Linked DNA regions of Arabidopsis thaliana. The gene in region 1 interacts genetically with each later gene. Each region holds a gene or a part of one and is shown on either strand. Other genes may lie near its edges.

Region 1 (8,191 bases):
AAAAATCGTTTCCGAGGATGTCATTGTGCAAAGAGTCAATGCAGAAGTAGGCAGTGTCCCTGCTTTGCTGCTGGCAGAGAATGTGATCCAGATGTTTGCAGAAATTGCTGGGTTAGGTAGTCATTTTAAATCTAGATCTCTTGATGTGCCATATACAATCAAATCTACTATTTGATGAGTAACTTAAGATGCCTTGCTTATTCACTCAGTTGTGGAGATGGTTCTCTCGGTGAAGCACCAAGACGCGGAGAAGGGCAATGCGGAAACATGAGACTTCTCCTGAGGCAACAACAGAGGGTATAATACTGTCATCAAATCATGTATTTACTAAAAATAAAATGCATTCATTGTTGATAAATCTAGTTTCTCATGTGCTATATTTACCAGATCCTATTGGGAAAGTCTGATGTTGCTGGATGGGGTGCTTTTCTAAAGGTAAAGCATGTGAATATCTTCCTCATTAACTTCTGTTTCATACCTCTTGTATGTAATCTGAACCTCATCTGATCATCAGAACTCGGTCAGCAAAAATGAATACCTTGGAGAATACACCGGTGAATTGATCTCACACCATGAGGCGGATAAGCGTGGGAAAATATATGACCGGGCAAATTCGTCCTTCCTCTTTGACTTGAATGATCAGGTGACCAAATCTCTCACCCTTCTTTCTGATAGTTTCCTCTTGAATTTCGCATATGTCAGTAAGCTTTTGATATTTGCAGTACGTCCTCGATGCTCAACGCAAAGGTGACAAGCTGAAATTTGCCAATCACTCAGCTAAACCCAATTGCTACGCTAAGGTACTAAATGCTTCTCTCTCATATCCATTTTGGTATGAAAAAACCACATGATCGGTTAGTAATTATACCTTCTTTCTCACCTCTAGCCACTCAAAAGTTCCATTTAGAAGGAGGACTAGGATTATAACATTTTGTAGAAACTAATCGCAATTAGCACTATAGAAAACAGATGATCAAATCTAGCTTTGTAGGTTATGATCAAAACACACTTGTTTCTACAATCTTTATGATTGTAATGTGTAAAGTAACATGTGTATATCATCTGCTAGATTTATTCAACCCTTTTCGAAAGGTGTTAATTATTTACAAAAAAGAGCGATTTTCAGTCTATTGTCGTAGTAACCATGGTCTCATCGCTTCCCGCATAAGTACGGTGTCTTTTTCTGTGTGGTGTAGGTGATGTTTGTAGCAGGAGATCACAGGGTCGGGATTTTTGCAAACGAACGAATAGAAGCTAGCGAAGAGCTTTTCTATGACTATAGATATGGACCAGACCAAGCACCAGTGTGGGCTCGCAAACCTGAAGGCTCCAAGAAAGATGATTCAGCCATTACTCATCGTAGAGCCAGAAAGCACCAATCTCATTGATGATTACTGGCTAAGAGAAGTAACTTTTATAAAAATAACTTATAGAGTTGTGAGAGATGATATTTGAAGTTTGATAACTTAAGCTTGTCTTTATTAATTAATTATTATAGAGTTGAGATTTTATTTTATTTTGACATCGAGTTTGGACTTTGTATAGGTGATAAAACAATTTATGAATTATTGGGGTCAATAAGTAAAAATGTATCATTTCGAAAAATAGTTTCAAATTTATGGATTTTTGAACAGCTAAAGCCAATCTATGTACTTTTCAACGAATAAAACTGATTTAAAATAAGTGAACGAACCAATCACACTAAACCAGTGCCTAATCTCATAAAAAGTAATCCGACTGCTAAACCGTATTCCGGTTCGAATCGGATACGGATCCGTTTCCCAGTTGATTAGTCGGATCCAGTTTCTTCTTGCTTTTTCAATTCACATTACGAATCTCCGACGCCAAAATTCTGCTTCCGGTAACAGATATTTTCGTCGTCGAGAAGAAGCAGGAGTTTAGAAAAATGGCGACGGAGGCAGCTCCGATGGACGAAAAGGCGAAGAGAATGAGAGATCTATTGTCGAGCTTCTACGCACCGGATCCTTCAATCTCGACGAGTGGTTCCTCCATCAACGCCTCTTTCGATAACATCAACAGCACTTCCTTTGATGCTGATCAGTACATGGATCTCATGGTTAGTCTTCGTTTCTTGTCAGAATATTCGTGAATCGTCAACACAAGCGTCAATAGCTTGTATATTGTATCAAATTATTGAGTATTTCGATTCACTGAAGTTAGATTCGGCTCTTTGATCTTGGTCTAAGTGGTTAGTTCGAAATTTAGAATATGTTTAGATCCGACTGTTATCTTTTGGAGCAGGAATATAGTTGCTAGTTTTGAATTCTACCCTTCGGATGAAGTTTACAGTGCAAGGTTCTTGTAGAGGTCTCTTGATCAATGTGGTCTGGTTTGGTTATTTTCTATGCAAACTTATGAGAATTCTGCAAATTTAGTTGTTCTTATCAAAGATCTTCCTGCAATGGTTGATAGTTCGGAACTAAATTGGGTTTATGAGGTTTGTGTTAAGTGTGGTGACAGTAGTGCTAGCGATCTGATTGAGATATATGCCACAGTCTGGTGATTTTATTGGCTTGTGCAGATCAAAAAGTCGAATTTGGAGGTGCTTCTGCAAAGACATGTTCAAATGGCTGCTGAGATTAAAAATCTCGACACAGACTTGCAAATGCTAGTCTATGAAAATTACAACAAGTTTATCAGTGCAACAGATACAATCAAAAGGTACTTGTAATGGTTCATGGATCGTTTCAGGTGTTAAGTGTGTCATTTAACACTTTTCTCTATATGATTTGATTTCACCACTCGGTAGTATATTAAATTCAAAATGTTGCTTCTTTACCTGGTAGGATGAAGAGTAATATTTTCGGGATGGAAGGCAATATGGACCAGCTTCTTCAGAAGGTGTTTTGAACACATATGATACACGTAGTTTTGGATTTTTTTATGGGAACTTCTCACTCATAGTATATCTCCCAACTGACTCATGCAGATAATGTCAGTACAATCAAAGAGTGATGGGGTCAACACTTCTCTTTTCGAAAAGAGAGAACATATAGAGAAACTGCACCGGACTCGTAATCTTCTTCGTAAAGTTCAGGTATGTAATGAGTCATTTTTGCTAGCTTATATATCTGCTGTGTTGTCACCTGATCATTATAGCAATAATATGAATTTACTCAAATTAATTTTTGTGAGAAAGAGCAGTTCATCTATGATTTACCTGCAAGACTGCAAAAATGTATCAAGTCAGAAGCCTATGGCGATGCTGTCAGGTTCTATACTGGAGCAATGCCAATTCTCAAGGTTTACATCTGTCCTCGGATAACTTTTCCATTTTTTTGTAGTATTCTTTTCATGTTACTGGGGCATTTAACATTCTGAAGATATATATGTGGAGATATGTTTAAAAATATGAATTTCTCTTTCTGTTCAGGTATATGGCGATACATCATTCCAAGACTGCAGGCGAGCTTCCGAAGAAGCTATAGAAATTATCATAAAGAACTTGCAGGTATACCTTTTGGTCCTAGTAGTCTATACTTGTCTGGATTAATAAAAATCTACATACAATACTGGCTTATCAACCATATAAACAAATAACTGGTCTTTATGTTTTGTGTTTGTTATTTCTTGATGCAAGAAACCTATTTTGGCTTGTTTGACAGACGAAGCTATTTTCAGATTCAGAATCCATACAGGCGAGAGCTGAAGCTGCAGTGCTTCTTAAGCAGTTAGATGTCCCTGTCAGTTCTTTCTCTTAGCTCAATTATCTGTGACTTGTTTAAGTTGTTATAGAGCTACCTAGAACGTTCGTAATGTTCATCCTTGTACAACTGGTTTATCACTGGTTGTGACATAAATTTGGATTGCACATCCTGCAGGTTGATAGCTTAAAGGCTAAACTGTTGGAAAAACTGGAACAGTCTCTTGATGGTCTTCAAATAAAGCCTGAGGAGGCAAGTACACTTGTAGAGGACGATGATTCATCTAACGATACAGAAAGCAATGACCAACATCCTGCTAAAATTCATGAGGTAAACACGGACTATGTCGCTTCCTTATCCTTTGTGTTTTTGATGAATGCAAGTTGGAACACAGTCAAACTGACTGTATCTATTAAGCACTTTGAATATCCGCAGCTGCTTTACAGGAGATTTTCTCATTAGCCACCATATTGAGATCTCTTTTCTTTTATTTCATTTGGTTTATCAGACTTGACGAGCTTTTTATTTGCACTTTTGATATTTTAATGGTTGTCCCCTTTTTTCTGATAGGATGCCGTACGTGGATTTTCTGAGGCCATACGTGCTTATCGAGAAATATTCCCCGACTCAGAAGAAAGACTTTTCAAACTCGCGAGAGCCTTAACAGCAATGTAACGCACTTTTCTTTGATATATTGATCCATAAATCGAGACTTTGTTTGTGTCTGACCTGCAGAATTTCTAACACTTATGGTTGTTAGGCACTTTGAGTACATGGAGCTATATATAAAAAAACGGGTTTCTGCAGCAGATTTTCTAGGAATTTTTCGTGAGTACAGTGAATTTCCTCATGCCCTTGTCTCTTTTTTATGTTGCTTTCATTTCTTCTGAAAGCTTTGGTTAAATCAGTCTAATGAACATATATACCCTGTCTGATTTCTGTTGGACGTAGGAATTGTATGGGAAGATGTGGTACTTATGGACGAGGTGCTACCTGAGGCTGCACTCTCTGATTTATCTGCAGAGGTTGACCCTCATTTATGTTGTGTGGTTCTATTTTTCGTTATAATGTGTAGAACTATATATGATTACTAGCACTCCTCATTTCAGGCTGCCCAGGTTACTCTTAAGCAATTTGTTGCGAGAATGTTTTCTCATCTTCAACAGGATATATCAGGTTCGCTGTTTTCTAATTTCTACTGGATTCAGAATTTCTTAGTGAGGGAAAAGAGAGAATGAGTGTAGCTTCACTTTTCATAAGAACTTCTGTGAAATGGCCTTTAAGTAATTTGAAGAGTAGATTAATCTCTTCGTGAAGTTTTAGTCTTCAAATGAAATAGAATTATAATGAGGTATATATATACATGGCAGATACTCTCTTGAAATTCGATATCAACCAAAAGGAAGCAGTTGAAGGGGAACTCTTGAAGGTTGTCCTGGAAGCTAGCCAAAAAGCAGTGCTACAAGGCACCACAAATATATTTCAGGCACATTCCTTCTTCTGTTATTTATTATATTTTGGCTGTTATATCATCTGTATGAATTCCATGCTCAAAAACGCTTATATTCGTTCTATCACTTCAGGACTTCCGTCAGCTTCTTGATGAAAAAACTGGAATATTTATAAAGATGAAGGATTTAATCAGTGGTTGGATTCAGAAAGGATCTCAAGACTTCTTCAGGTCACTAGAAGCTCAATTTCTAGTGCTTTCTGGAAAAACTAGCTCATCAAACGATATAGAGGGAAAATCGAGTGACAAAATTCATGCTGGTCTCATTCTTGTATTGGCGCAGCTCTCTGTCTTCATCGAACAAAAGGTCATCCCGAGAGTTACTGAGGTGAGATTCTTACAAGTAGTTTTGCATAAAGTTTAAATCAATTGGTAGCTGGTTTTGAGAAATTTCATATGCTTATTCAGGAAATAGCTGCTTCCTTCTCTGGTGGAAATTCCCAAGCCTTTGAGAATGGACCTGCTTTTATTCCTGGAGAACTTTGCCGGGTCTTCCACGCAGCCAGCGAGAAACTTCTCCAGCATGTATGAATGAAACTCCAAAACTTGAGGTCGTTTACCAAAACTTAACATCAACTAACTAAATCATTTCATATTTCAGTACATAGACACAAGAACACAGAAGGTATCAGTTTTACTGAGAAAAAGGTTCAAGACACCTAACTGGGTTAAGGTATTGCTGTTGTGGTGTGGCTAATCTTCTTAGAGAAGCATTTTACCAGTCATTGTTTTTTAATTCCAAATATTATGCAGCACAAGGAGCCACGAGAGGTTCACATGTATGTCGATATGTTTCTTCACGAGGTTTGACAACTCTTCTCCTCTTAACCTGGAAATTATCTAAAGAGCATGCAATAAATCATATTTGTTTGGATTTTCTACTTCGCAGTTAGAAGAAGTTGGTAAAGAAGTGAAACAAGTTTTACCTCAAGGGACTTTCCGTAAGCACAAAAGAACAGACAGCAACGGAAGTAACACTACAACCTCATCACGAAGCAATACCCTCCATAATGATAAGATGGCACGGTCAAATTCACAAAGAGCTCGTAGTCAGCTTTTCGAGACACATCTTGCAAAACTGTTCAAGCAAAAAGTAGAAATATTCACCAAGGTTGAATTTACCCAGGTAAAAACGAAAGAGGTTCCCTTATAGTTATATCAAACGCGCACTGCCACACGCTCATCATCTCCTGATCTCTTTTCGTGCTAAATATTTGCAGGAATCCGTTGTTACAACAACAGTAAAACTTTGTCTGAAGAGTTTGCAAGAATATGTCCGTCTCCAAACGTTTAACCGGAGCGGGTTCCAGCAGATTCAGCTAGACATTCAGTTCTTAAAAGCTCCATTGAAGGAAGCAGTTGAGGACGAAGCTGCAATAGACTTCTTGCTCGACGAGGTGGTTACACCTAAAGCTCCTTCCTTTACTTTTCTTCTTATTACCATCAAGCAGAGGCTCTATGTCTATCTTTTGCAACTGACCATTGATTCTCCGACCATGATGTGTGTTTGTATTGACAGGTGATCGTTGCGGCTTCGGAGAGATGTCTTGATGTGATTCCATTGGAGCCACCGATCTTGGACAAACTCATACAAGCTAAACTCGCTAAATCAAAGGAGCACAACAACAACACAGTTTCTTCTTAAAAGTTTTCATAACTCAAACAAAGTATACATGATTTTTGCCAATTTATTTCCGCTTCTTGTTATCATCCGTAGTGTAAATCAAAACCATTGAATTGTACTCTCTAGCATTGAACCAGTAAAATCTACACCGTAACTTCTTCTTTACTTTTGTGAACAAATCTTTGAATTTTTTTTTTTAGCAACATGCAATTTGACTTAAAAGATATGTAAAACCCTAAAACTAAACTACATAAATTCCTAATTACACTAAAACCCTAAAATTGAGTGCCGAAAAAATAGAAAAAATATTCATAGTCACGGCCTCACGGGTCTCTCTATTATATAAGAACTCCTTGAGACTTAAAAAAAATCTCACATTCCCTCTCTCTAATCAAAAAGCTAAAAGCAATGGCCACTGCGATGTCTTACTCTTCTCAAAACCATCGATTCGAGCACCAAACCCTAATCCACCGTAACCCTAAGCCTCGTCTTTGCCGCAACTCTTCAACAGCTCCTCGCCGACGCAAGCAAAGCCCTACGGTTGTTAAATCTCCGGCGGCGAATCCAAATCTTGTAATGGAACAAGTCAAGATCCTCAAACGCGGTGAGACATTGAGCGCGTTTAATAAGAACAAGGAAAACATTAGCTCCGACGATACAAGACGACCTGTTTTGAAGATGATAAAAGATGTTGATCTGATTGTATCGGCTACTAATAGAATTGGACCTGAACCAGAGATTTTGATGAAACAGATCGGAGCTTTGGGATTGCAGAGCTTCGCCGGAGCTAATTGCTCTCTTTCGCCGCCTCCAAGCTGTGTTCCAATTCCATGTTTCTTAGGGACGAAGAACAATCTCCTTGTTTAGATCATCTGATTTGGGGAAAACAAAAACCCTAAAATCGAAACCGTCTTTTGATGGTCTCGTAAGAGCAGATGTGTGAAGAAATCCTGAGATAGAGAGTAAACAAATCTCTTTGTTTATCTCAAAGAAGAAGAAGAAGATGGAGAATGTGATCACAAAACGCCAATTGCAACCAAAATCTTTACTCTGTAATCGAGTGTTTTGGTGTAACAGTCACTGTGACTATTTTCAATCGCTTTTTTTTAGTTTTGTTTCGGATTTTGAAGTTTGTAGTTGTCACTTTCACATGGGATTCAAATCTCTCCTTATGCAATAAAAAACCTTATAGTAATACAAACATAAGTTTCTTGAATCAGTTTATATTCTCTTTAAACAGATACATTCTTGCTCTCATCTTCAAGATTTGTTGCATCAGGTAATACTTTTTTCCAGAACCAATGTTTACTCCATAAGAGTGTCATCTCTTCTATTGGAACTCCTTTGGTTTCAGGCAACAGGAAATACACAAAGATAGTCATTACTGTCACC
Region 2 (5,016 bases), on another chromosome or scaffold:
TGTAATCTGTTTGGCCATTGTTTTCAGTTTAAGACAATTAACACTTTGGCACACTAGAATGTATTCAAAACTTCATAAATTCAAGTAATTACAATTATATAATGTTATTGCTTCGGTTCATAGCTTGGTGATAATCTTTTACTTCAACTATCTGTAATTAAGACAGGAAAGGATCTTATTAATTAGATTTAGTTACTGTCATATGCAGATATGTCTAAAAAGACGTATAGATAGACCTACAATTTCTAGATAGTAATAAATACTACTATTAAACAGTAGTAGCAGGTGTAATAGTCTTAGCATGTCTCTGATAATGATTTTTAATGTATAATTATTACTTTGCATACTTTATAACATCTTCTTTTTTTTAACTAATAGTTACACACATGATAAGTCCGTAGATATGAATACTCGAAGGGGAGAGTTATTTTGATTTAAGTTTATACAATTTTTTCATACGGTTAAAATAGTCAATAAGTCTGTAGTTAATTTATTAGTAGAAATTGATCAACTCACTATCTTTTTAGTTTGATCTTAAGGTCTTTACATTTTTGGGTGTGTCTTTTATTCTTTAGTTTATTCTTTAGTACATTTTTGGGTGGGAAATTTTAAAAAACAAGTCATGTCAAATAGGGCTAAAATTGAAGTTCCACTAAAATAAATAATTTGTATGAGATAATAATCAAAATATTGGAAGTAACAGAAATAAATTAACAATTGTGAAATTTACGTTTAGTCATGTCATTTTGGTGGACCTGTAACAATCAACATAATTGATAATTAGTTATTTGATGAGCCATAATTAATTTATATAAAAAAGGAGAAAAAACAGACTTGAGATAGTAATTAAGAAAACTACAAAACCAGGCAGCATAAATATCTTCTCTGATTTGCAACCTGTAACTTCTTGATTAAATTATTTTTCAATCTTACATCATAAATCTCGTTGCTTGAAAATAATGAAATTTAATTTTCTTTTGCTGAGTCTTACAAATGAATATGAAGCAATGAAAAGTAACTAAAAATCCATCACAGGAGTAAAAAATTGGAAAATGGAAAAGATGAAACAAAAACGAAAAGAAAATCAAGGAAAAAAAAAAGAGAGGTGAAAGGTGTAGAAGGTGGTGGCGTGTAGTAACGAAGTCTCTGTCAAAGTTTTTGATAAATTAATCATGTACTGTGCTGACACTCCAAGATTTGAAACAGCCTTATCGATATAATATCCATTTTTCTATTAAAAATAAAAATTGAAACTCTTCACTTTCCAAATAACTAGTGTATATGTCTAATAATGTATCCCTCACTATACTACTATTGTTTCGATTAGTCATTGTACGTATAATAAATTATTATGTATCCCAATTTCCAAACACAATAATAAAAAGAAATTTCAAGTTCGTAGATAAAAAAAAAGATACAATCTGAATCCTCTCTTTTATTTTCATCACTGACAGAGAATACCACTGCACTTTTTCTCATGCACGCACGCATACTCAGATAGAAACAAGAGCCCATTCCTCGTTTCTTTAATAATTTAATTCAAAGAAATACGGACACTTCATGATTAATTTTAATTTTGTAATTTTAAAACAATCTCGAGTTATGTAAAAAATATATCGATAAACTCAAAAATGTGATGTAATAATCTGCTTTGGCTTTGCTCTCTTTACTACAAGACAAGGCAGAGAAAACCACAGATTCCTATGAAAGAGTAGACGTACCTGTCTTTTTATTATTACTAAATTTATAATTATCTTCTCTACGACTTTCTGGTTTTTAATCTTTTAATAATTATTTTACTTTCACTACCCCAAAAAAAAAGCTTCCCTCTATTTCGCCGTTTTAGATTTACCAAATCCCAATGTATAAAAAAAATAAACTAATAAAACCAAAAAATAATATCCATCCACATTATTACCACGCCCCTTACTCAAGAACCATCCATTATATTAACCTATTTATCTTCTTCTTCAAAACATTTGAGTCTCCTTAGGGTTTTTTCTCTCTCAAACAAAAGCTTTAGATCTTTCTTCTTAATGGACATTCCGTATTACCACTACGACCATGGCGGAGACAGCCAATATCTTCCACCGGGTTTCAGGTTTCATCCCACGGACGAAGAGCTCATCACTCATTACCTTCTCCGCAAAGTCCTCGACGGTTGCTTCTCAAGCCGTGCCATCGCAGAAGTTGATCTCAACAAGTGTGAGCCTTGGCAACTTCCCGGTAAGAAAATACAAAACTAACTTACTTGTAGTTCTTTTGTAATTAAGGTTTCTGAAATCTTTACTCTCAATGTTACTTAGGGAGAGCTAAGATGGGAGAGAAAGAATGGTACTTCTTTAGCCTCCGTGACCGGAAGTATCCGACGGGACTGAGAACTAACAGAGCAACTGAGGCTGGTTACTGGAAAGCTACCGGAAAAGACAGAGAGATCTTTAGTTCAAAGACTTGTGCACTTGTTGGGATGAAGAAGACTCTTGTCTTTTACAAAGGAAGAGCTCCGAAAGGAGAGAAGAGTAATTGGGTTATGCATGAATATCGTCTTGAAGGCAAATTCTCTTACCATTTCATCTCAAGAAGCTCCAAGGTACTTCGATTTAACCTTTCATTAGTTATTTTGTTGATAAAGTAAAGCCTTAATTTTCTTTGATTAATAAATTTACAATCTATTATTTGGAAAAAAAATTCGAGAGTGTGACATAGTCGGTGACGTTGATTTTTTTCTCTTTTGCTTTATTGCATTTAATTTTGATGGCTGAAAAGGCATGGTTCTTTACTGTGGTTATCTGAGAGCATTATGGAACATGAAATAGAAAAGATCTGCTGTTTTTATGTATTGGGATTTCAATCATAATGGTGTTTTCCTAAAGTAAGAAAACATTCAATAGCTCTGATAAAATAAAATATTAATACATCCTACTTTTGGAAAGCTTAATGCAAAAAACCAGAACCAATGCAAATCTTCAGGATTTTTTTCTGACCTAGATATATTAAAAAGAAATTTAATTAAATTAATTTTACTTAATTAGTGTTCCATATCCATTGTAGACTTGTAGTGTCCAATGTACATTCCCTCTGTGCACGCTTTTACTCTATGGTTTTTCTTAATCTTCACTCTCTTTTATTTCCAAGATCTAACATTGACTTTCTCATCAAACATATATTATATAAAATATTTGACTTTTCAAAACTCTAATTTATTCCTTCAGGATGAATGGGTGATCTCTAGGGTTTTCCAGAAAACCACTTTAGCTAGCACCGGAGCCGTCTCCGAAGGAGGAGGAGGAGGAGGAGCAACTGTGAGCGTAAGCAGCGGTACTGGTCCATCTAAAAAGACGAAAGTACCCTCAACAATCTCAAGAAACTATCAAGAACAACCAAGCTCTCCTTCCTCCGTCTCACTCCCACCTCTCCTGGATCCGACCACTACCCTCGGCTACACCGACAGCAGTTGCTCCTACGACAGCCGTAGCACCAACACAACCGTCACAGCCAGCGCAATAACCGAGCACGTGTCCTGTTTCTCCACTGTCCCTACTACTACTACGGCCTTGGGCTTAGACGTTAACTCATTCAGCCGTCTTCCACCGCCGCTAGGGTTTGACTTTGACCCTTTTCCTCGTTTCGTTTCTAGAAACGTCTCGACTCAATCTAACTTCAGATCGTTCCAAGAAAACTTCAATCAATTTCCTTACTTTGGATCGTCTTCTGCATCGACTATGACCTCCGCCGTTAATCTGCCTTCTTTCCAAGGCGGCGGAGGCGTCTCCGGGATGAATTACTGGCTACCGGCGACTGCCGAAGAGAATGAGTCAAAGGTCGGTGTGCTTCATGCTGGACTTGACTGTATTTGGAACTACTGATCACAAAAGAGGTGACTTATAATTGTTCCCGTTAGGGTTTTATTTATGTATTTCTAGGATGATTATGGTATTATGAAATGTGTGTACCGAGGAGCTTAATATTGCACTTAGCTTGATGTTCCGCTTAATTCTCTAGTTTTAAGTTTATCCGGTTGTGTTAATTAGGAGGTAATATGCAAGGAAAATGTTTTCTAGACTATGAACGTGCATATGTATAAGCTATGCTCGTTTTTGTAATGTTTGACATTATGTTAATTTCATGGCTTTTTCATGTTTTATATTTCTCATGATATTTGACATGTGTCCTTGGTTATCAATACAATCATACAGTATATTACCGACAAAATGAATTTCTTCGGTCGCTTCTAGATACCTTAGTTTTCTTCTTGTTAATACAATTTGATATGGCGGTTATATATATGTTTCCGGAATTCAACCGTTCCGAATCTTCGGTTAGATGATTTCCGTAATTACATAACATGGCTAATTATTTAATTTCTTCATCAATTGAAGATGCTCAAATGTAAAACATGCATGTAGTTTTTGTTTATTAATTCTAGCTAATTAAGGTTGACATGTGTAACTGCCAAAATATTTCAAGAAAGTTTCATGCTTTTAAAGTAAGTACTCATAATTCAGTGGATTAATCAGTCTATGAACACCATTTTCAGTTAGGTGTATCTTCTTGCTACAATCGTACACATATGAGACTAAACACAACAATTTGCGTTTGGCTTAATTGATTAAGATAACATGCATGTACATGGTAGTTACTGAAAATAATTTACATACTAATTTTGATTAACTTAATGCATTGTAAACCCACCAAAGAAAAGAAGTAGTTTTGAAATTAAGGATTTTGAAACGGGGATGATGAATATGATGCGCATGCTGACGAACGGACCACTCCCAAATTCAGATCTTGTACAACAGTCCACCTCACTTTCAGAAGGATGGCTTTCACATTTCTATTTTTAGAAAGAGACATAATTAATAATACCTCTGTTTATTACCATTATATATGTGTTTTCATTTCACGTGTGTATACTAGTAGGAGTATGATATATGTATGTGTGTAACACAACCATCATCATCATCATCATCATTACCATCATCAATTATTGCTCTTGTTGCATCACCAACCTATACT

What was found.
Region 2: of AT4G02030 (region 1) and CUC2, changing one suppresses a phenotype caused by changing the other (phenotypic suppression), as found in Arabidopsis thaliana (one study listed by BioGRID).

What each region holds. Positions count from the first base shown.
Region 1 is NC_003075.7:890,356-898,546, forward strand, and holds AT4G02030 (Vps51/Vps67 family (components of vesicular transport) protein), read left to right. Parts: upstream 1-1,820; 5' UTR 1,821-1,906; coding exon 1,907-2,077; intron 2,078-2,181; coding exon 2,182-2,209; intron 2,210-2,411; coding exon 2,412-2,458; intron 2,459-2,542; coding exon 2,543-2,682; intron 2,683-2,807; coding exon 2,808-2,862; intron 2,863-2,950; coding exon 2,951-3,058; intron 3,059-3,165; coding exon 3,166-3,264; intron 3,265-3,394; coding exon 3,395-3,472; intron 3,473-3,626; coding exon 3,627-3,704; intron 3,705-3,842; coding exon 3,843-3,995; intron 3,996-4,235; coding exon 4,236-4,336; intron 4,337-4,425; coding exon 4,426-4,493; intron 4,494-4,616; coding exon 4,617-4,690; intron 4,691-4,774; coding exon 4,775-4,841; intron 4,842-5,035; coding exon 5,036-5,151; intron 5,152-5,248; coding exon 5,249-5,503; intron 5,504-5,583; coding exon 5,584-5,700; intron 5,701-5,776; coding exon 5,777-5,848; intron 5,849-5,928; coding exon 5,929-5,979; intron 5,980-6,064; and 7 more. Other genes in the region: SWN (SET domain-containing protein), read left to right, coding at 1-116, 210-297, 388-435, 515-643, 723-800, 1,197-1,388; AT4G02040 (uncharacterized protein), read left to right, coding at 7,208-7,666; STP7 (sugar transporter protein 7), read right to left, coding at 8,032-8,191. UniProt on the Arabidopsis thaliana protein: Acts as a component of the GARP complex that is involved in retrograde transport from early and late endosomes to the trans-Golgi network (TGN).
Region 2 is NC_003076.8:21,900,816-21,905,831, reverse strand, and holds CUC2 (NAC (No Apical Meristem) domain transcriptional regulator superfamily protein), read left to right. Parts: upstream 1-1,977; 5' UTR 1,978-2,036; coding exon 2,037-2,226; intron 2,227-2,306; coding exon 2,307-2,590; intron 2,591-3,212; coding exon 3,213-3,866; 3' UTR 3,867-4,128; downstream 4,129-5,016.